4 linked regions of the Arabidopsis thaliana genome follow. The main gene of each other region encodes a partner of the protein of the gene in region 2 in a complex. Each region holds a gene or a part of one and is shown on either strand. Other genes may lie near its edges. The genes, in order: CSN6B, FUS5, CSN6A and COP8. A codon is read from its position in the direction of its gene.

Region 1 (5,030 bases), on a different chromosome or scaffold from region 2:
TCAGGAGCTACTATAAATGCACAGCTAATGGATGTACCGTAACGAAGCATGTAGAGAGAGCCTCTGATGACTTCAAGAGCGTACTAACAACTTATATAGGCAAGCACACCCACGTTGTACCAGCAGCACGCAACAGCAGCCACGTCGGTGCAGGCAGTTCAGGGACTCTCCAAGGCAGTTTAGCGACTCAGACCCACAACCACAATGTGCACTATCCAATGCCACACAGTAGATCTGAGGGACTGGCCACAGCCAACTCATCTCTATTTGACTTCCAGTCACACCTGAGGCATCCTACAGGTTTCTCCGTTTACATAGGCCAATCTGAGCTTTCTGATCTTTCAATGCCTGGTCTAACTATTGGGCAAGAGAAGCTTACCAGCCTGCAGGCGCCTGACATTGGGGATCCAACTGGCCTAATGTTGCAGTTAGCAGCACAGCCGAAGGTGGAACCAGTGTCACCACAACAGGGACTTGATTTGTCAGCGAGCTCATTGATATGCAGAGAGATGTTGAGTAGATTACGACAGATATGAAACAAATCTCTTTGTTCACTGATTGCTCAAATTTTTGAATAAATGAAAAATTGAGAGAAGGTAAAAGCTGTTTTGTTTTTACAGTCTTGTCGCAAAATTTAGTTAGGCCTAAACTTAGCTTCTGTCTAGACAAAGCTTAAACAGAAGAAAAGCTTCCTAGCTGTTTGTTTGGTTCCGAAAAGTGAAATGCCTTAAAAGAGTTCTAAATTTTCACTTAGGGACCAGACCACCAAAAGAAAGAAAAGGTTTTTTTACATTGAAACTAATCTTTACATGAACGCAGTCCTACCACCTCTTCGGCTGTGTTTGTCGTATGCAGTGTTGAATTTGTCAACCACCTCGTTCATGTTGCTGCATTTTGGGGGGAAAAAGGAGAGTAAGAGATCAAATATACAAAGGATTCTTTCAGGACATTTCGTTGGAATGAAATTGACATATGGATTGGTCAAGGTGTAGCACAAGATTAGATTTTTTTTTTAAAAAGAAGCTTATATTCCCTTAGCTACTACAGGCTCAGTATCTTAATTATAACAAGGATAATTGAGCAAGGTCCTAGATTTAGTTCTTAATCTAAATAAAACAAACTATCTCAATGTCAGCCTCAACCAAGTACTGGTGATTTCATCTGTCTTGGTATCGTAAAACATTGCATTGTATCAAGCAAAAGATTTGCATGCATGTCCATCATTCTTTTATTCAAATAGTTAAATGGAATAGCGTGTCGAGCACATACCTGGTACAATTCGTGATCATTGCTAGGTAAGACATCAGCAATTTGTCGTTGTACTCCTGCAAAAGAAGAGAACATCATATTTATAAAGATATCATTCACAACAACAAGCTACATTAAGAATTTAAGAGATTCGAAGGCCACTTTATTTAACCAACATTGCTAGAAAAAGGTAAGGTACTACTTACCATCAAGAAATTTTCATTGAACTTCTCTGATTCTGCGGCAGGCAAACTTCTGAGCAGACTAGATACTTGTCTCAGAACTGAGTTCTCACAAGGTTTATCACCTAGATGCAGAATCACATAAGTCATTAGTACCACATTACTCTTGCTCAAAATCATCTTCTAACACCCTTTTAATTCTTTCTTCCCCGTAGGAAAACACATAGAAATATTCTAAGATCAAGGGACAGGTCACAAAAGCTTGATTAACAAATTGAAGAGGGACCGAGAGTGGGGACTTGAGCAAGAATATACCTTTCTGCATAGCGACAATATGCTGGTATAGCACTCTGATTCTGCTATTAAGCATCTTGATGGCACTATGTATTCCAGTAAGATGAGCAGCCACTGCACAAAATCGAGGAATCAACCTAAAATTCCATGCAGATGAAAAAGAAAGAACAGATTATGATAAATATGAAGTGATAATAAAGCTTACACTGAGTCGCAGCTGAGCCTCCATCAGATGGCTTAAGATGTGCAACATGATCAACAGATATTCTTTCAGCTTCAACTGTCTGCACGCGTTTACAATCATTGCAATGTTATTGAAAGTCCACTCTCATATCACATAGATAGATTACAGATCAAGTGGCCTAAACACATACCTCAATTGTGTAGCTGGTATGCACGAAAATCGACTGAGGAATTCCATCAATGACATGAAATTCTTCAAATTTTGAAAACAATCAAAAAGACAGGATTAGCAAGATTATAATCTATAAAACAATAAGACAATCAGTGATGCAAATAACCAATTTTTACCGCTTTCGTAGATAGTCACAGGAAGATCCTTCTGTGCATGATTGATAGCAGGATTTAAAAGAACATACACAGGAGATTCATTAATGTCCATCAGCTGTAGATGAAAACCTCAACAAATCAGTACAATGAGAATCCTAAATTCAATTAAATTTATATTAAACATTAAAGCTACACTACTCACAGCTTTGTGGATATGCATATCAGATTCGGTAGCGTCACTTCCCGTAGAATACCATCCCAATACGTAGAAGTCAGGGAACACCTTCTTATCTAAAAAATAACAAAACTCACAAATTAGCAAGAGTATCAAACAATCGACAACAAAAGTGAGCGAGTGTAAGTAAACTTACAGAGTTCTTGCTTCTTCTCGAGGAAGGATCTGTCGAGAGTATCAAGAGCAGGATCGAATATCAGCTCGAAACTGTTGAAGATCTCAACCGTACGACCTCTCTGGAGACCGATGACGCAGCCATAAACCCTAGGGTTTTGCAGTAACATCGCGTCGGCGTTGTTGGAGCCATTCCCGGTGGCGCAAGAAGCGGCGGGAGGATTAAGCTGAGTTTTAACCCTAGTGAAGTGATCGGATATGTTAAGCATCACCAGAGGATGTAGCTTGAACGTGAGACCGCTCGACGAAGAAGGCGCCATTGTTGTCGCTCTCGATTTTTTCCCGGCGCTTGTCGTTGTCCTCCTTTAGTCCCAAATTCTGAAATCGGATCTTAAACTCGGGTCATGAATCTTTATATAGTCTTGGCCTCTTGGGCTTTCCTTCTAAGTTTAGCCCATATATAACTTTCTTTTGTTAGAAAAATAATGGAAAAGATTATAGCATGTACTTAATTTTTTAGCGTTTTAGTATATATTTATAATTTGAATATAAATCTTTGAAAGAAATATCTATTTTTTTAATATGAAATTTCTTGTATTTTAATGAATTTGAAAAATAATTATGATTGGATTTTGAATCATTTACTTCTTTTTTTTTGGTTTGAGTATATAGAAATAACATAAAGATCATAATGAATTAATTTTATTTAATATTATTGGATATGTTTGTAAGTGTTACTATTAAAATTTTATTATGTGTGTAGTCTGTTTTAATTCTTCTTTTCGTAATATATATATATATATATATATATATTGATATTTTAAACTATTTTTAGTTTATATAACATATCTTTAAATATGTTTCCTATGTTGTAAGTAGTACCTATCAATATTTTACAGAATATTACAGTTTTGTATTCTGAATGCAATCTTTTAAATTAAATTTCATTTAAATTTCATAAAAATAGTTAAGGCTACATTTAAATCTGTATTATTGTTATTTCATTAATTAAAAATATAACTGTATATAGTTTATGAGAAATCCCACATTAAAAGTGGAAATAGAATATGAGTAATATACAGTATATAAACCAAATCTACTCATAAACAATTAGTTTTGAGTTTGGAACCATAAAACTTAATATAGTAAATTGATAAATATGTTATTTTAGATTCTATATATACCATATATAACTCCTAGTCTCCTATGATATATCTGTCATTACATCGTAAATTGCTTATCACTAGCCAGTAGCCACCAGCCGCAGCCTCTGCACCCTTACTCATATCATTAACACATTGCTGGCTTGCAAGGTACAATCTTTAGTTATGTCATTCAAGTCTTCATATTACGGTAGATTTTTCCAACCGTATTGTTCAAACAATTGTATCCGACAATATAATCATGCATGGGATCTCGTCAAACTCTAACGACATGCTTTTTGACTTATGATAACTTTTTTTCTTTTCTTCAGTCAATCTTATCAAGTCATCGTCTACGCTTTTTTCCACCATCGCCTTCACTTTGAAGAAGCGTGAGTGTAGGTAGTGCTATATACTTGTGGGAAATTTGGGAATATGCTCATTTACATTTTTACATGTATAGACATAAATCTTTAGGTTGGATATGTGACATATTATTTATGATTCTTTTTTCAATTTATATAAACTAGTAGACCACGATTTAGTTTTCTCACTGATTAGCAAATGATGGATTTGGTCCGTATTGAAAATAAAAGACATATATATATATATATGTGTGTTCCGTTTTCCTGAAATCAACTGCAAAAAGTTTTCAACAAACGATTAAGAAAAATGAAAGTGACACATTAACACGTTAGATAATGCATTAACAAAATATTCTTTCTTTTCTTTTTTCTTCATTCTTTTTACCTTCGTTTATAGGAGGGAAGAAAATGAACCAGAATTTTGTTGATATTGAAAAACCAATCCGAATAAAGAATCTACGAAATGACACTATACTAAACTCGTTCTATGGTAGAATGTCTTTGCACCCGATAGCAAAAGTTATTGTAGAAAACTATTTTATACCTAAACAATTCACAAACCTCGGAGAAATGATATTGTTGTATATTTAGAAATGTATATCAAAAGAAGAAAATAGTCTTTAGTGGACACTGACAGACAACGACTAGTTTTATATGTAACCATCAGTTCATCTTTCTAGATAAAACCAATGTTAAACGCAACTGCTAATCTCTTCTTCTTTTCTTTTGTCAACCACCAAGGCACCAACTGCTAATCTCTTTAGACTCTAGAGATAGCGAAATATCTTCATTATTTCATAATATACATAACAATTTTATTAATCCTTAATTCAAAATTGCTTGGAAAACACTGATGAAATTAAGCATCTACTAACAGAAAGTTTTGTAAATTTTCAAAAACTTTCTCCTAACGTTCCTCTCGGAAATTGGGGTTATCTAT
Region 2 (4,872 bases):
TTGTAACAATTATACATACAGTAGGAGAGATTTTAGGAGTCTTAGTTTATTTATTTAACTTCAAGATTCACAAACATGTTTTCTAATTACAAAAAAAAAAAACACTATTATTCCTTTATCCTTGCTCTTAAGGGTCTGTTTGAGAATTAGTTAGGTGAAAACATGTTTGAGAAATCGGCGGGGATTGTGTTTTCATGGTCATAAAACATGACCATAAACACTGAAAGAGATTATGATTATGCTGAGGGAGTGTGAGAAATCGGCAGGGATTGTCATCATATAGTACTAGACTACTAGTACTTTGTATAACGTTCTCAGGAACATGTTTCGGTCAGAATTCCGATGGTGGGATCTAGTCGATGACGTAATAAACAACACTTTCATGCCCGCCTAAGAGGCAGCTGTCGCAGACTAAGCAGGTTTCAACATGTGAGGGGCCAAGGCGCTGGCTAGTGGTCAAAAGACGGAACACTGAGAATATCTGTATCATTCCATATGATCCAAGCGCCTAGCTTTGCTCAAGTGTCAAGACTATTGATTACTGAATACTAAATTCAAAGCCATTTTTCTTTTAATGGGCAGAGAGACACCAAATTTGCTAATGAGGGAAATCAAACATAACAAGGGGTTATTGTGAGAGAGAACAGAGGATCTTATACAAGTTGAAAATCCGCAACCAAATAATCATAATCTACTCTCGGTAAATGGAATGTCAATCCGCACTGACCATTTGCTCTCTCTTGCTCCTCTACCTTGTTACAGGATGCCTCCTCCTGCGTTCCAAAGTTGAATGTGTGTATGTTATATCATCTCCTTTGTACTTATCATCTCACTCATATCTAATATTCGTTACCTCTTTGGTCGGATCCCATCTTCTTCGTAGTCCATCACTCCACTTGGTTCCCCAAACATCTCCTTATTCCCTCTGATGTCAACATCCCCCTGCCCACAACGTAAGTAAGACTATATCGACCACCACCCTTCCCAATCATATTTCAGACACAAAAAACCAAACGAACCTTGTTTCATTTCATTTAACAATCAGACAATAACCAAGTACTACCATTCCAAACAATTCATGTCCTCTAATGACTTTAACACTTCACTAACAGCCGTTGTGATTGCGTTCCTTGTTTGTTTTTAATTAAAGAAAACTTCATAATATATGTTTACATCCAACATGTAAGATTTCTTGTTCCACGAAAGAACGGTTAAAAAAGCCCGCCACAGTTGGCTGATCGATTCGTTTGTTATTAAGAAACATAACTTTTTAATCTATGATAGGACTGGACTTGGAAAGCTCAAAGACCTAGAAAGATTTTTTTATCAAGTCTCTCCCATCCCCGCTTACATAGACCTAAGCTATTAATAAGAAGAAACCCACTACAATTCTCTGAAGAAATATAAGACAGAATAGCTGACTGGACTCTAACTCATGGTCACAAGACAGTAACCAAGAAAGAATGTAACCAATATTAGTTACATAATATACTTAGTAGGGAAAAGTGAAGCCAATAGGACTCCAAGCGCGACTGACCTTCATGGACAGAGACTTCTTCACTTCTTCCACCCCTTCTTCTGCTTCCTTACGATGTTTTTTGTCCATCTCACTCATATTGTCCGCCCATTTGATCTTGTCTTGAATTGAAATGAGCAGATTCTCTGACGTGTTCAACCTAGACATCAATTTGGGCCAACACATAAAAGAGTAGGACGTCATTAGCCATGTATTCTAACATCACGTACAAGTTCTTATAATTAGATATAGAAGGCAAAAAATCCTGGATCTAAGGGAAGAAGAAAACTACCAGTTGGACAATGTGTGTAACATATTCCCTAGTTGACCTGGCCTTAGATCCCTACCAGCTGCAAACGGAACCTGCATGGTTGCAAGAGATATATGATGTTTAGAAGGGGGGGCTCGTACGTTTAGAAACAAAGCACAATGGTTAAAATAGGAAAAGGAGGCCCAAACCAAAACACACCTCAAAACATCTTTTTAACTGATCCAGTTTTCCCCTAACTATACCCTGCAAAGTGTAAAAGAAAAAAAATGAGCACCATGCGTTGTCACAGTTAGTTGTCAAATAGAGATTAGAAGACTGCTAAAGAGTACTCACCGCATACATGCATTCATTGATAAGAAAGTCCTCGAGTTCGCGAACATTGGAAACATCTAACTCGACCATTAGTGTATCATAGGGCAATACCTATAACAAGCAGAGTGAGAGAGACATTCAGTTAGGCAAACAGCAGGGGAAAAAGATAATGGAACAGAGTAGATAGCAGGAGCAAATCATGAACCTAAGACAAATATACCTTGTTAGACTCAGCAAGGGTGAGGACAGTGAGCTGCTTAAGCTTAAGAATTTGGTCAGGGGACAAGTGCGGAAGACGGGTGGCATTGCCTAGTGTTTCGATGAAAGCAAGTCAAGAGGAGAGAATATGACAAAAGGGAAAACGAATTGAAATAGCATATGACAAAGGGGTCATACATTTGTAGTCTCCCCAGGTGCCATGGGCAAACAAGCGTAGTAGATCCAGGTACACAGAATCTGTGGTTCCTTCAAGCTGCACAATTACGATTAATCAGCTACTAGTATCTATCAAGTTGTTATGATCAGCGAAGAACAAAAGCATGTAAAACCCTAGATCGTGAAAAGCATAAAGTAGTAGTACCTGGGCAACATTGGGTAGAGCCAAAATCTCGGAGAAGGCGAAGAGAGAAGGATGCGATGTGGCTTCGATGATGAGCGGGCCCAGAGCCTCGGATTTGCAAGTAGAAGCTCGCTTCACGAGCTGATCAATGATCTCGGCTTGCTTCTGCTCGATATCCATCTTCCAAACAAATCGATTTCCGGTGGTTTAGGGTTTTCTTTCTTACCACACTAATAACGAATAAAATCCCAAACTTCTTCTCTCTGCTCCTTCCTTCTTCCGTTTTTATATTACTGTTTTTTTTATGTGACCGACCGAATTCTTCTAGAATCTTGTTTAATAATTGGGCTCAAATTTCGTAGTTTCTGGGCCAAGGCCTACTAAGAGAAATATTAGAAACCGCGTCTGGTGAGCCCAAACAATCCCGGGGAAGAGAGAGACTATTGAATATTCTTCTTCCTTCATTTTGGCTGAGAGAGCGACGACGATGGCGGAATCTCGCAGCAACAGAGCGGCGGTTCAGGCTACTAACGACGATGCATCCGCCAGTAAATTGTACGCCTACCTCTTTCTCTCTTCTTTAATTAGGGCTCTTCTTTTTTTTTTGTTGTTGTTGTGGATCTTTGAGCCTAGATAATATTTTTAAAGGTCTTGTGTCAAAAAGGGATATATGAAAGACGACTATGTTCATCTCTTTGTGAAAAGACCTGTTCGAAGATCTCCCATCATTAATCGAGGTTACTTTTCCCGTTGGGCTGCCTTCCGAAAGCTTATGTCTCAGTTTCTTCTAAGCGGGACAAGTTCTAAGAAACAGATACTGTCTCTCGGAGCTGGCTTTGATACTACCTATTTTCAGTTGCTGGTGCGTCTTCTTTTTCTTCTCCTTTTTGTTAGCTTTTACCAAATTCACCATTCTTCGGCTTATTCCAGGGATCTCTCGCTTCTTCTCTTCTCATTTTGTAGGATGAGGGGAATGGGCCCAATCTCTATGTGGAACTTGATTTTAAGGAGGTACTACTGGATGAGCGTGCTGACAAAAGTATCCATCATGTGTTTTGAGTCTAATGCCTAAATGGATTTGCTTCTTACGTTAGGTGACTAGCAAGAAGGCTGCTGTTATACAAAACTCCAGCCAACTCAGGGACAAACTAGGAGCCAATGCATCTATTTCTATTGGTAAGAGCCTTTTTTCCCCCCATGTATTATTATGTAGAATGATCCTTTTCATTATGATGCATTTCAGCTTGTGCACTCATATTTTTCTTCATTCCGCTTCTACTAGCTACTAACTCAACCACCCCCTTTTACTTTGTACCGTTAGCGTCTAGTTTCAGTTGCTTACTCTTAACTCGTTGGGCTGTTTATCTCTACAGACGAAGGACAAGTTCTCAGTGATCATTACAAGTTACTTCCAGTTGACCTGCGCGATATACCAAAATTAAGAGATGTTATATCCTTTGCAGATATGGATCTAAGGTATCCATGAATAATTTTTATTTATTTTACACACTGTTATCTTGAACCTTCAACCCTCTTCTTCTACCCGGGTTTAAGATATATGGTAACAGATACTTACTGGTGATAGACCTACTTGATCCCTAATATCATTATCAGTCTGCCGACGTTTATTATTGCAGAATGTGTTTTGATTTATCTGGACCCCGATTCAAGCCGTGCCATCGTCAATTGGTCGTCAAAAACGTTTTCAACTGCAGTATTTTTCTTATATGAGCAGGTTAGCTCAACTGTGATTTTCCTTGTCTGCATAATATTGCAGATACGAATCTTATTGCTTATGTGTCTAACCCGTTGGGTTTCTGTTTGCAGATCCATCCAGATGATGCATTTGGGCATCAAATGATTAGAAATTTGGAGGTAAGAACGTGTACTCTACTACTCTAGTTACAGCGACATCTTCATTAGTAAAGCTTTTTTGAGATTTTTGTCAAAATATGGATACTAGTATGACACTAAAATATTCTAGTATTGCCACATGGGTTCATGTTGTACTGATCAATTACCTTCATTTAAACTTGTTCTGAAAGCTTAACGGTGTTTCTGTTCTTCAGAGTCGGGGATGTGCACTCTTAAGCATTGATGCATCACCAACTTTACTTGCAAAGGAGAGATTGTTTCTTGATAATGGATGGCAGGTTCGTTTTGCAGTTAGAATATTATGATTAAAGCAGGGCTAACTTTCATGTATAATTTCTG
Region 3 (4,420 bases), on a different chromosome or scaffold from region 2:
AAGTCACAACTAACAATCAGTCTCCTTTTAGCCGTCCCTTTAGCTTTCAGCCACATTTGGGTCCTCCTTCTGGTTTCTCCTTCGGTTTAGGACAAACCGGTTTGGTTAATCTTTCAATGCCTGGTTTAGCGTATGGTCAAGGGAAAATGCCGGGTTTGCCTCACCCGTATATGACACAACCGGTTGGGATGAGTGAAGCAATGATGCAGAGAGGGATGGAACCAAAGGTTGAACCGGTTTCAGATTCAGGACAATCGGTATATAACCAGATCATGAGTAGATTACCTCAGATTTGAAATTTACTCTTCTTCTTCTTCTTCTGCATTTGGTCACTCCTTATAATAACTTTTAATTTCTGCTTCTTCTTCTTCTTTCATTTATTGGTTTCAAACTTTGGGGAAGGTAAAGGCTGTTTTATTGTTCATTCCTTGGTTTTGTCTTCTTTTTTACTGGTTCTTTATCTTATATTGAAATCAACAAAGAAGAAAAAAGTGAGTGTTGTGTAGCAATACTGCAATTGCTAACTGGAGACTGATGTGGATGTAACTAGAGAGACTGATAGAATCAAACCTTAAAATCTTTTTACTAACAATAGAAACTTGTTCAAGATCAAACAAGAGCTTTGATAGATAAGCAGATGTTCTTATAGATATAGAAACAATGAAGAGGATAAAGTCTTGCCGTCTGAGTTATAGATTCTCACAGAGGCAATGTTAAAAATGGTTTCAGGAACCAAGAGAAGATCTTTAGAACTAGAATCGCTGGAAAGGATCTTTTACATGAATGCAGTTCTTCCACCTCTTCGAGTGTTTCTGTCATATGCGGTGTTGAATTTGTCGACCATCTCGTTCATGTTGCTGCAGATTGAGCAAACAAAATTATTAACTGATATAACAGAATCCACCAGCCCGGTGAAAACCGTATCTTTCACAGTTCCTAAAGAACCACTAGTTAAAGAGCATTCGCTAGCCTATATACTTGCTTTCAAATACTTTAGAATGTTGCATTAGGTACAAACCTGGAACAATTTGTAATCATCGCTAGGTAAGTTATTAGTAATTTGTCGTTGTACTCCTGCAAAAAGAAAAAATGCCAGCATAAGTTGCGAAATATCTCAGACAATAAGCTACACTGAAAAGAATCAAGTGCAGATCTAACTAACTCACCATCAAGAAATTATCTTGAAATCTCTCTGATTCCATGGCAGGCAATCTTCTTAGCAGGCTAGATACTTGTCTCAGAACTGAGTTGTCACAAGATTTATCACCTACACACATAAATGAGTTGGCAGATAAATTATTACACTTACACAACTTTGACTATCTTCAGCTAGAATCCTGGACTGGTAAACATGAAACCACGGTGATAAGAATCGGAACTTGGGAAAGAACAGAATATACCTTTCTGCATTGCAGCAAGATTTTGGTAAAGCACTCTGATTCTGCTATTAAGCATCTTGATGGCACTATGTATACCAGTAAGATGAGCAGCCACTGCATATGAACGAATAATCAGCCAAAAACAGTAAGACTCAGGAAGTGGAGTATGATATGTATTAGTGACATAAGGCTCACACTGGGTTGCTGCTGAGCCTCCGTCAGATGGTTTAAGATGTGCAACATGATCAACTGATATCCGTTCAGCTTCAACTGTCTACATTGTATAACACCTCAAAATCTTAGTCAATGTACACTTTCATAACATAGATTAAATTGCAGAATGTTTGACAAAAAAAAAAAAAATTATTTGCAGAATCAAACTTAAGCACAGACCTCGATTGTGTAGCTTGTATGAGCGAAAATTAGCTGCGGGATTCCATCAATGACATGCAATTCTTCAAGTAATGAAGATCAATCAATGAAACAAAGAGAAAAGTTAGGATCTTGTAAAACAATCTGACCTAAATCTGGAAGTCAATAAAGATAAAGACTTGGGAAGATATCTAGAAACTCTGAACTACGCATATACCTATACTAACATGCTAACATATCAGAATGTACCCACAGAACCATATGACATTATAAGAAGCATACCACTTTCATAAATAGTCACTGGAAGATCCTTCTGTGTGTGATTGATAGCAGGGTTTAAAAGCACATAAACAGGAGATTCATTGATATCCATCAACTGTCACCAAGAGCAGACACAAAAACCACACTTTTAGAGACCAAATCTCAATTATACAAAAATACTAGAGAGAGCATTGGACTCACAGCTTTATGGATATGCATATCAGATTCCTCAGCATCACTTCCCGTAGAGTACCATCCCAGAATATAGAAATCAGGGAACACCTTCTTATCTAATAAACAATAAAACCAGATAAAAGTTCAAACTTTAATTTACGATTGCATCAATAGTTGAGAATAAAAAGAGTGAGCTTTAGCTTACAGAGCTCTTGCTTCTTCTCGAGGAAAGATCTATCAAGGGTTTGAGTAGAAGGATCATATAAAAGCTCGAAACTGTTGAATATCTCAACAGTACGACCTCTCTGGACACCGATCACACATCCGTAAACCCTAGGGTTTTGCTGGAACATTGCTTCGCCGTTGTTTGAGCCATGGCCGCTTGCGCAGATTGAAGCAGGAGGATTGAGCTGAGTTTTGACCCTAGTGTAGTGATCCGATATGTTGACGATTACCAAAGGATGTAGCTTGAAGGTTAAACCGCTTGATGACGAAGGTGCCATTGTCGATCTCTCTCTCCTTTGATGAATTCTTTGGTTTTTGGGTTTTTAGTTTTTTTATGAAGATTTTTTTTATTTAAATCAATGTGGATTCGGATCCTAGATCGGGTCTTCCGGGTCAACTATATGGATATTAGTTTTTTCTGTATGGGCCGAGCGTAGGACTTATATATGCGGTTGGGCCTCATGACTTGTTTTTCCAATTACATTTTTTCATTTTGGAAACTAATTATATTAATTAACAAACGAAAATAAGATAAACCAAACGATTGAGACTCATAAAATCAGATATCTGAAGTTGACAAAAAATGTACTAGAAATTTGAAAACAGACAACATTCATCAAATTTTTCAATATGAAAGTTCAATAGTTCAGTGGTTAGACTAAAGGTTATAATTTTTTCCACAAAATGTTTGATTTCTAGTGTGTAAATTCTTGCAAGTTAATGAAAGGAAAAAAAAATCTAGAGATGCCTAGCATATTGTAACTATTGTTGATGTAGATGAATTTTTTTTTTTTTTTTAGTTATTGATGAAATTAGTGAAGTCATGTTGGTCGTCCAAATGTGTGATATGAGTACAAGAGTAGAATCTACCTTCGTTTGTAACGCATTGCACAATCAATCAAGAAATATAACTAAACCCAGCAAAAATCAAGCAATATAATTTATTTATCTTTGGTATGATCAAGCAAATATAATTCAACACTAATAGGAAACTACAAAATTCAAAAGTGGCAGCAAATCGGACAAAAAGATAAAACATATCTTGATAAAGAAAGATAAAAAAAAACTATATTCACAACAATTCATTTTTAATTACGGATACTGTAAAAAACGGTTTTTTCACAAAAATAAATAACTAAACAAAAATGTGTTGGTGAGCCTAAAAATGTGTGTGGTGTGGATAATATATAAATATTAATTACCAAAATACTATCAAAAAATTTAATAATTTCTTACGAAGCTGTGACCAAACACAACAAACAAAAAAAACACCGCCACGAGACGAGCCAAACTAAAGATTAGGATTTGGGAGGTTGATGATCAATTCCGGACAACGGAGGAAACCATACTGATAGATTCAACGACGGTGATTGCGGCGGAGGAGTAGAAACCCGTTGGAAACATGGCGATGAGAGACCTTGTTAACGGCGGAGCCGCTTGTGCCGTTCCTGGTTCGTCTTCTTCTTCTAATCCTCTCGGAGCTCTCACCAACGCTTTACTTGGTTCGTCTTCCAAAACCCAGGTTAGCTTCCTGATTCCTTTTTGATCGAAACAGTGTTGACATTTGAAGTCTCCTGATTCCATTCTTCGCCTTTTCCTTGGTTCTCCTGGAACTAAGAAGTCGAATTAGATCTCATTTTTCGTTGGGTTTTGTTATTTGCTTGCCAAGTTTCGATTTTTCTTTCCGTAGTGTTAGGGTTTTAGACGTTCTTCGATTATGTCAAGTGATTTGGCTGACAATTGTTTAAAGGTTTAAAATTTCCTGAGAATTTGAAGAAATGTTGATGATTGGTGATTTGTTGTGCAGGAAAGGCTCAAGGAGATACCTAATGCAAACCGGTCAGGTCCTCGGCCACAATTTTACTCTGAAGACCAACAGATAAGGTCACTTCCTGGTTCTGAGTTAGATCAGCCACTTCTGCAACCGGGTGCTCAGGTTAATGTTGTGGAAAGTTTTGGTTTTACAATGGTAGTATTGACTCTGATTATCTAGCCTCTGTGATGGCTGA
Region 4 (5,787 bases), on a different chromosome or scaffold from region 2:
TCGTTCAAGAATAAAAATTAAACAACGAATGGGAAAATGTTATATGTAACTACTAGTTTCATCTGAGAAATCATGAGGGGAAAATGTTGTGGCTGGGACTTCGTGCAATCCCGAGAGTTCAGACAGTGTTGGAAGTGGAACTTGAAGCTATGAGATGGGCAGCTCTTTCAATGTCAAGATTTAACTATAAGAAAGTCATCTTTGAATCAGATTCCCAACATCTAGTGTCTCTGTTAGGGGATGATACTGATTATCCAAATTTGGCCCCAAGAATTCAGGACATTAGACATATATTCCAACAATTTGAGGAGGTGAAGGTGATGCATATAAAGCGTGAAGGAAACAGTGTGGCAGATAGAATTGCTAGGGAATCTCTTTCTTTATTGAATTATGATCCTAAAATGTATTCTAAAGGTGCCGGCTTGGATAAAAGATTGTGTGTATTCAGACTCTGTGTAATCACCGTTTGGTAAATGAGAAGTTGTTGTTGAGCCAAAAAAAAAAAAAAAACTACTAGTTTCATCATTCTCTTGCACAAGAAAGGTTCATCTATGCATAAAATAATTTGTTCTGAGGTAAAAATGTACCCTGAACCTCTTTTCAACTTTCTTAAAAATCCTCATTCAATGCCTAATCTTTTCCTCTCTGAATCAATTAACCTAAAGACATAGACATGAATTTGCAAGAAAGTAAATAAGGTGAAAATGACTGTCCCCAAAACACAGCAATTTGGCAAAAACTTTGGCATGAGACTCGATCCGTTGCTCGGCTAATACAAATTAATCATCATGAGGCGATCTCACGGCTTGGGAGTCAATCAGACAGGAACAGACATGCCTTTCTTGGCCATCCCATCCAGAATGTCATTGAGAGCTTGGCATAATCCCGATATCTGCACAGATTCCACTTTTCAGTCATATTCCACGCCAATAAAACAAACAATCATATATAGTTGCTCTAAAGAGACAAAGAGTGGGAGGGAGAGATAGAAAACCTGTTGATCCCATTGTTGTAGTTCCTCCACGTCATCCTCAAAATGAATCACAGCCTCCTCCTGAACAGTAACATAAAATATTAAAACACGTCTAGGAACCTCCTTCTAGAAAATCAACACTAACGAGAATTCTCTTCAGGGCTCTTACATAGCTCAACCAACAAAGTATTTTTTATTGCTTACCTGATCTATGGAACCCCTCATTCGGTCTTGCCCAATCATATTAGCTGCTATCTTCTCCGCTTTTCTTGGATCAATCGCCAACAGAGTTCCCAATTCATCAAACCTAGGATATAAAATAGTTGAGAAAATCAAACAAGTCTAGACACACAAAGAAGATACTAATTCGACATCTCATACCTTATGTTTGTGTAGAGTTTGCTTGCACTAAGAAGGTTATGCTCAATCATAGCACGGTCAAGAACAGTGGATTTGTCAGGCAAAGATGCTTTCTGTTGAAATCAACAGTGTAATAACTTGTTATGAACCTACTTACCAACTCAGATGTTATCCAAAAACTACATCTAAATCTTAATTCACAGTCCATACCTGATGTGGCCTTAGTTCTTCTGAAAAGGCATCAATCTCTGGTCTCCTTAAAATCCTTTCCAGATACACCTATAAAGTTGCATTAAAAAACAAAAAGTTACCATGCATTTCTAACCAAGCCTCTATAAGCTATGGTGAACTTGTTTGATTTGATAATGAATCAAATCTAATAAACATCATGCCGGCTTAAACAAGAGTAATATGTGAGTTCAAACAATACTATATGTCCAATAGCATGAAAATGTATGTTTGTCTACTAGAGGAAACAGTTGTAGGTAATAAGAGATAGAACCTTCTGCAGGATAGGATAAATCTTCAGCTTGGAGCAACGCTCATCCTGTTAATAGAAAGATATTGAGAAATAAAAAACAATAAATAAGCAAGCAGGAAAGTATTCTATTTGTAATCCAAAAGGGAATTACTTTGTATAAAGTTGCAAGAACACGAGAACGCTGAGGACCAGCTCCAGCTAATATGGTACATGTGACAGCAGCTGATAGGGCCTGCTCTAAAGCATTCTCATCAATCTCTCTGAAAAGATTAGAAAACACATTATAACCGTTTCAGAATATGAGATATCACAAAGGTATTGGAGAGAGAAAAGAGGAACACTATTCAATCACAGAGAGGGGAAAAGTAGGAAACTAGCTTTAAATACAGAGTCTCCAAAGATGGATAGAAGATTAATTAATCATTATTCCATCCGAACAAGAAACCAACAGAGGAGAATTTGAAGAAAAGATGTAGCAGAAAGATAAGTCAGTTCACTTACTCATCCCCTATTTGGCGTTGCTCAATCTGAGATATGCCGTAATACCGAAGTGCAGCCTCTAAAAACTTTCTTTTCATGTCCAAAATTCTAGCATAGCAGACCTGAAACAGAAATATATTAAAACTTGAAAACGAATGCTCCTTAATCACCCAGCACATAAATTCTTAGTTTACTTTAAGGTGGTCCAACCTTGTACTGCAAATTCAAAACTTCATTCTGACTATTGCTCACTAAGAAAGAAGCTTTATTTATAAAAGCCTCTGCATTTACAGCATCATCATCCTGAAAATTTCAAAACACAAAAGTATTAGAGAACAATAAAAATTTAACTAAATGTATTTATACAACTCTGCTAGCCTCAATTTACTCTCACAAGCAATAAATAAAAAAGTGATGTAGTGAAGCAGAATAATGCTCTTAACAGTCGATATTCCTAATTTCATGACACTTAGATTTGGTCAAGAGACTTAACTTTAAATAAAATCTCTCTAGAAAAATGTCCAAATATTTGAAGATTGAATCAACATTCAACAACGGGTTTCTTTTGTGCTTTTAAGATCTAACTTCTGTAACTGATTGACACGCACCCACAGAAGGAAACAAGACAAACTAGCTATAAATCATTACTGCGATGCGTAAATTCATCTCATAAACAGAGATAACCGATTTACATGCTTAAAAATTAATGAAAAGGACACAGAATCTATTGTGCATATGTACATGAAAGGGAAAGACAAACCTCGAGATACAAACGAGCAATTTGGATACACTTTGAAAGCTTGAAGTTGTCGTCAACGGCCCTAATAAAGAATTCCGCAAATCCAAAATAAGCAACACAAAAGAACATAGAGAGGAAACTAAAACAAAATTCTGCTCAATGCCACACACCTCATTCCAGAATCCAGATCAATTCCACTCAACATCTGTGCTGCTTTTGACCATTCCTGCTCTGATTCATACAAACCCGCAAGTTTTTCTCTGATAACAAGTGCCTGCAAATACACCACAAACAGTTTCATCTCTTAGAATAAAGAGATTGAAAAACAACACAACGTACATTGTCTCAGTTATCCCAAAATACAGCATCCTTAGTAAACAAATATCTCAAATTAGCTTTCAGTGTAGATTTCACATACCAAAGCGGTACAATAGCAAAGCGACTCTACATACCTCTCAACTTATGTTAAGTAGGTAAACTAATTAGGGTTTAAAAAGTACACGATTGCTGCTAAACAGTAAGGTATCACGAAGAGAAAACAAACCTGTTCCTCAAAGGAAACAACTCTAGGCTGAATCTGGGTAAGAGTAAATTGAGCAATCTCCTTCTGCGTCTCCGGTTCTAATCTCCCAAGCTCTTGTGCGAAAGACTGCAAAAGCTGCCTCGAAACCACCAACGGGACATCATCGGAAAGAACTGGAAAAATTGTGAGGAAGCAAAAATCAAAATCAAACCAGAAATTCTGATATAAACCGAATTCCATAAGAACAAAAAGCAGTTGTCGAATCTCTTATGAAGTTGAAACCATGAGAAAGAAGGGAGATGCGAAATTACTGTGATCGATGAATCTCTGAGCTTGGAGAAGATCGTTGGAAGAGAGAACAGAGGAGAGGATGAGTTTGTACTGTTCGATTTTCTGGCGTTGGTCACCGATTGCAGAAGCGTTCGTCAAAGCTTCATCCATGGCTTCTCTTCTGAGATTTTCTCTCCCGCTTCGATTGAAACCCTAAGAAACCTTACAAGGTTTTGATTTCTCTCTCGCTTTTTTTTTTTTTTTTTTTGGAGTTTGCTCTCTTTTTATATTAAAAAAATAAACGGGGACTAGATTCTGTGCCGGTGATCGGAGAGGCGCTTTACAAAATTTACTTAATATGGTCACAACTCATATGAGATTAGTACCCAAAATAAATTAAAATATATATATATATATATTAAGCATAAATACTATATTTTTTTTTGTTAGTTCATAAATTTTATAATTAATTTGTGATGGTAAGTTTACCAAATTGATTGTAGATTAAAAAAAAAAATCAACAAATAATATATTGTTTAGAAATATTTTTATATGTGAGCCTAAATTACTACAGTAAATCTTTTACACAAATAAAAAAACACGTCGTGATTTGGAAAACACGATGATGAGGTATTTTATGATGACAATACCACGTTTAATATTATGATACCAGATCGGAAAAAGATGATATGTTATGTGTTTTAGAGCTTAGGGAGCAATTTAAGATGGAAACGTAAATAATTATTTGTTGAGAAAGAATCGACTAGAAGCAATCGAAAAATTGATCGAATGGTCAAGATATGACCGAGAAGTCATCGGAAAAGTTGTGAGCCCAAATCTTGAGAGCAATGACATGCAAAATGTTTTGAAAGTGCTCTCATGAATTAAAAGTGAAAAAAGAACCACTCTCTCGTTACATAGAGGGTAGTATATAAAGAAATTTACCTATCTCAGACTAGGAAACCAAGTCTCGCATTGGAATACGACTTTGGTTTAAACATGTGAGCTGACTGACAAATCGATTTTATGTGCTTTACAACTTAGATATAACTGAACATATTGGTATTGGATGAGGTTGGACGATAGACTCATAGACACAATCGTTGTCTCGAAAAATCACGAGTTTCTCTCGCTTAAAGGATTTTTTTTGATGAAGTTTATGGTGATCCCGTTCGAGAACATCACAATTGTTTTTGAATCAACTTTACAGATCCATATTGTAACTAATGATTATAGACTACATAGTTTACCAAAATTACATTTACTCAAAAGAACAGATGCGGTTGTTGATGGCAAAACTTTTTTGGAATGGTAGACATCCCATTGAAAGAAAACAAATTGCCATGGTATGGAATTCATGATAATGATTTAACTCGTTATAGTCTGGACAAATTGTCATGGTAGGGTTTCATTGCTCTTTCTTTGGGTAGTTACCTCAAGATATCTCTTTGTTCTTCCTTGTGATAGTTCCACCTTGATATGTACAACCCCACATTAATCTGCTCATTTCAACATTAATTTTCTCTATTGTTTTTAAATTGTGTGTATAAGATTATTTCACTAACTAGGAAAACAATCCATTTCTTTGACACATGGGCTTTACTTAAACAAAAGCCCAATAACTTGTGTTTAGAAGTCACATGATCAAATCTCAAGACCTATTATAAATTAACAAATTTCATATTGATAAATTTTAAAAGATTTCCTATTACAATATTTAAAGTTGCTACAAATTATAGATTCTTTTGATCTTTTCTGATATTGTTTCTCAAATAAAATATAGGAATACCAAATTACAATATGAAAGTTGCTTCAAATTATAGATTCTTTTCTGATTTTGTTTCTCAAATAAAATATAGGACTGAACTACCAAAGGCAATAATATTCAATGTGACCAACAAAAAAAAAATAAAAAATAAAAAGAAATACTCAAATCTCATAACCTTTTTGACTAAATATAT

The links.
Region 1: the proteins of FUS5 (region 2) and CSN6B are in contact, whole or in part, in a cryo-EM structure (PDB 9IS6), measured with the Arabidopsis thaliana proteins. Residues at the interface, in NP_563645.1 of Arabidopsis thaliana: Glu4 (codon at 2,829), Gln7 (codon at 2,820), Ile11 (codon at 2,808), Ala41 (codon at 2,718), Ser43 (codon at 2,712), Glu44 (codon at 2,709), Ala104 (codon at 2,334), Glu105 (codon at 2,331), Asn107 (codon at 2,325), Lys108 (codon at 2,322), Val154 (codon at 1,879), Pro155 (codon at 1,876), Phe156 (codon at 1,873), Ala157 (codon at 1,870), Ala158 (codon at 1,867), Gly159 (codon at 1,864), Arg160 (codon at 1,861), Asp161 (codon at 1,858), Leu162 (codon at 1,855), Leu167 (codon at 1,840), Met170 (codon at 1,831), Leu171 (codon at 1,828), Thr173 (codon at 1,822), Leu174 (codon at 1,819), Ser175 (codon at 1,816), Trp177 (codon at 1,810), Leu178 (codon at 1,675), Ser181 (codon at 1,666), Glu182 (codon at 1,663), Leu185 (codon at 1,654); in NP_567746.1 of Arabidopsis thaliana: Leu208 (codon at 1,930), Ala209 (codon at 1,836), Leu212 (codon at 1,827), His216 (codon at 1,815), Ile219 (codon at 1,806), Asn223 (codon at 1,794), Ile226 (codon at 1,785), Arg227 (codon at 1,782), Tyr230 (codon at 1,773), Ile233 (codon at 1,764), Val234 (codon at 1,761), Gln237 (codon at 1,752), Asn245 (codon at 1,538), Ser246 (codon at 1,535), Leu248 (codon at 1,529), Arg249 (codon at 1,526), Gln250 (codon at 1,523), Val251 (codon at 1,520), Ser252 (codon at 1,517), Ser253 (codon at 1,514), Leu255 (codon at 1,508), Arg256 (codon at 1,505), Ser257 (codon at 1,502), Leu258 (codon at 1,499), Ala260 (codon at 1,493), Ala261 (codon at 1,490), Glu262 (codon at 1,487).
Region 3: FUS5 (region 2) and CSN6A share a complex: the UniProt entries of both Arabidopsis thaliana proteins name them as parts of the CSN complex.
Region 4: the proteins of FUS5 (region 2) and COP8 are in contact, whole or in part, in a cryo-EM structure (PDB 9IS6), measured with the Arabidopsis thaliana proteins. Residues at the interface, in NP_563645.1 of Arabidopsis thaliana: Met1 (codon at 2,838), Lys108 (codon at 2,322), Val124 (codon at 2,165), Arg125 (codon at 2,162), Glu128 (codon at 2,153), Asp129 (codon at 2,150), Ile132 (codon at 2,141), Asn133 (codon at 2,138), Met136 (codon at 2,129), Tyr137 (codon at 2,126), Lys144 (codon at 2,015), Leu145 (codon at 2,012), Asp146 (codon at 2,009), Gln147 (codon at 2,006), Leu148 (codon at 2,003), Pro155 (codon at 1,876); in NP_199111.1 of Arabidopsis thaliana: Glu269 (codon at 1,603), Arg270 (codon at 1,600), Ile271 (codon at 1,597), Arg273 (codon at 1,591), Ser310 (codon at 1,383), Lys313 (codon at 1,374), Leu314 (codon at 1,371), Tyr315 (codon at 1,368), Thr316 (codon at 1,365), Asn317 (codon at 1,362), Ile318 (codon at 1,359), Arg319 (codon at 1,356), Glu322 (codon at 1,273), Thr325 (codon at 1,264), Leu326 (codon at 1,261), Val357 (codon at 1,045), His359 (codon at 1,039), Gln373 (codon at 997), Asp383 (codon at 865).

What each region holds. Positions count from the first base shown.
Region 1 is NC_003075.7:13,353,102-13,358,131, reverse strand, and holds CSN6B (COP9 signalosome subunit 6B), read right to left. Parts: upstream 3,141-5,030; 5' UTR 2,904-3,140; coding exon 2,606-2,903; intron 2,526-2,605; coding exon 2,437-2,525; intron 2,350-2,436; coding exon 2,256-2,349; intron 2,161-2,255; coding exon 2,099-2,160; intron 2,009-2,098; coding exon 1,930-2,008; intron 1,839-1,929; coding exon 1,746-1,838; intron 1,556-1,745; coding exon 1,455-1,555; intron 1,326-1,454; coding exon 1,270-1,325; intron 888-1,269; coding exon 806-887; 3' UTR 537-805; downstream 1-536. Other genes in the region: WRKY34 (WRKY DNA-binding protein 34), read left to right, coding at 5-536. UniProt on the Arabidopsis thaliana protein: Component of the COP9 signalosome complex (CSN), a complex involved in various cellular and developmental processes such as photomorphogenesis and auxin and jasmonate responses.
Region 2 is NC_003070.9:386,731-391,602, forward strand, and holds FUS5 (Proteasome component (PCI) domain protein), read right to left. Parts: upstream 3,079-4,872; 5' UTR 2,839-3,078; coding exon 2,680-2,838; intron 2,572-2,679; coding exon 2,496-2,571; intron 2,409-2,495; coding exon 2,320-2,408; intron 2,211-2,319; coding exon 2,121-2,210; intron 2,031-2,120; coding exon 1,986-2,030; intron 1,880-1,985; coding exon 1,809-1,879; intron 1,677-1,808; coding exon 1,538-1,676; coding exon of another isoform or gene 1,493-1,537; exon of another isoform or gene 943-1,492; coding exon 854-942; intron 774-853; coding exon 749-773; 3' UTR 547-748; downstream 1-546. Other genes in the region: SBI1 (Leucine carboxyl methyltransferase), read left to right, coding at 3,146-3,213, 3,307-3,520, 3,622-3,669, 3,753-3,834, 4,032-4,134, 4,273-4,393, 4,486-4,533, 4,728-4,811. UniProt on the Arabidopsis thaliana protein: Component of the COP9 signalosome complex (CSN), a complex involved in various cellular and developmental processes such as photomorphogenesis and auxin and jasmonate responses.
Region 3 is NC_003076.8:22,782,842-22,787,261, forward strand, and holds CSN6A (COP9 signalosome subunit 6A), read right to left. Parts: upstream 2,765-4,420; 5' UTR 2,690-2,764; coding exon 2,392-2,689; intron 2,303-2,391; coding exon 2,214-2,302; intron 2,128-2,213; coding exon 2,034-2,127; intron 1,835-2,033; coding exon 1,773-1,834; intron 1,654-1,772; coding exon 1,575-1,653; intron 1,494-1,574; coding exon 1,401-1,493; intron 1,268-1,400; coding exon 1,167-1,267; intron 1,075-1,166; coding exon 1,019-1,074; intron 858-1,018; coding exon 776-857; 3' UTR 543-775; downstream 1-542. Other genes in the region: WRKY2 (WRKY DNA-binding protein 2), read left to right, coding at 1-296; PEX5 (peroxin 5), read left to right, coding at 3,814-3,933, 4,219-4,347. UniProt on the Arabidopsis thaliana protein: Component of the COP9 signalosome complex (CSN), a complex involved in various cellular and developmental processes such as photomorphogenesis and auxin and jasmonate responses.
Region 4 is NC_003076.8:17,236,653-17,242,439, forward strand, and holds COP8 (Proteasome component (PCI) domain protein), read right to left. Parts: upstream 4,165-5,787; 5' UTR 3,998-4,164; coding exon 3,868-3,997; intron 3,730-3,867; coding exon 3,578-3,729; intron 3,308-3,577; coding exon 3,204-3,307; intron 3,116-3,203; coding exon 3,055-3,115; intron 2,598-3,054; coding exon 2,505-2,597; intron 2,417-2,504; coding exon 2,316-2,416; intron 2,075-2,315; coding exon 1,966-2,074; intron 1,881-1,965; coding exon 1,836-1,880; intron 1,613-1,835; coding exon 1,544-1,612; intron 1,447-1,543; coding exon 1,355-1,446; intron 1,281-1,354; coding exon 1,178-1,280; intron 1,055-1,177; coding exon 995-1,054; intron 893-994; coding exon 818-892; 3' UTR 501-817; downstream 1-500. Other genes in the region: AT5G42965 (Polynucleotidyl transferase, ribonuclease H-like superfamily protein), read left to right, coding at 84-473. UniProt on the Arabidopsis thaliana protein: Component of the COP9 signalosome complex (CSN), a complex involved in various cellular and developmental processes such as photomorphogenesis and auxin and jasmonate responses.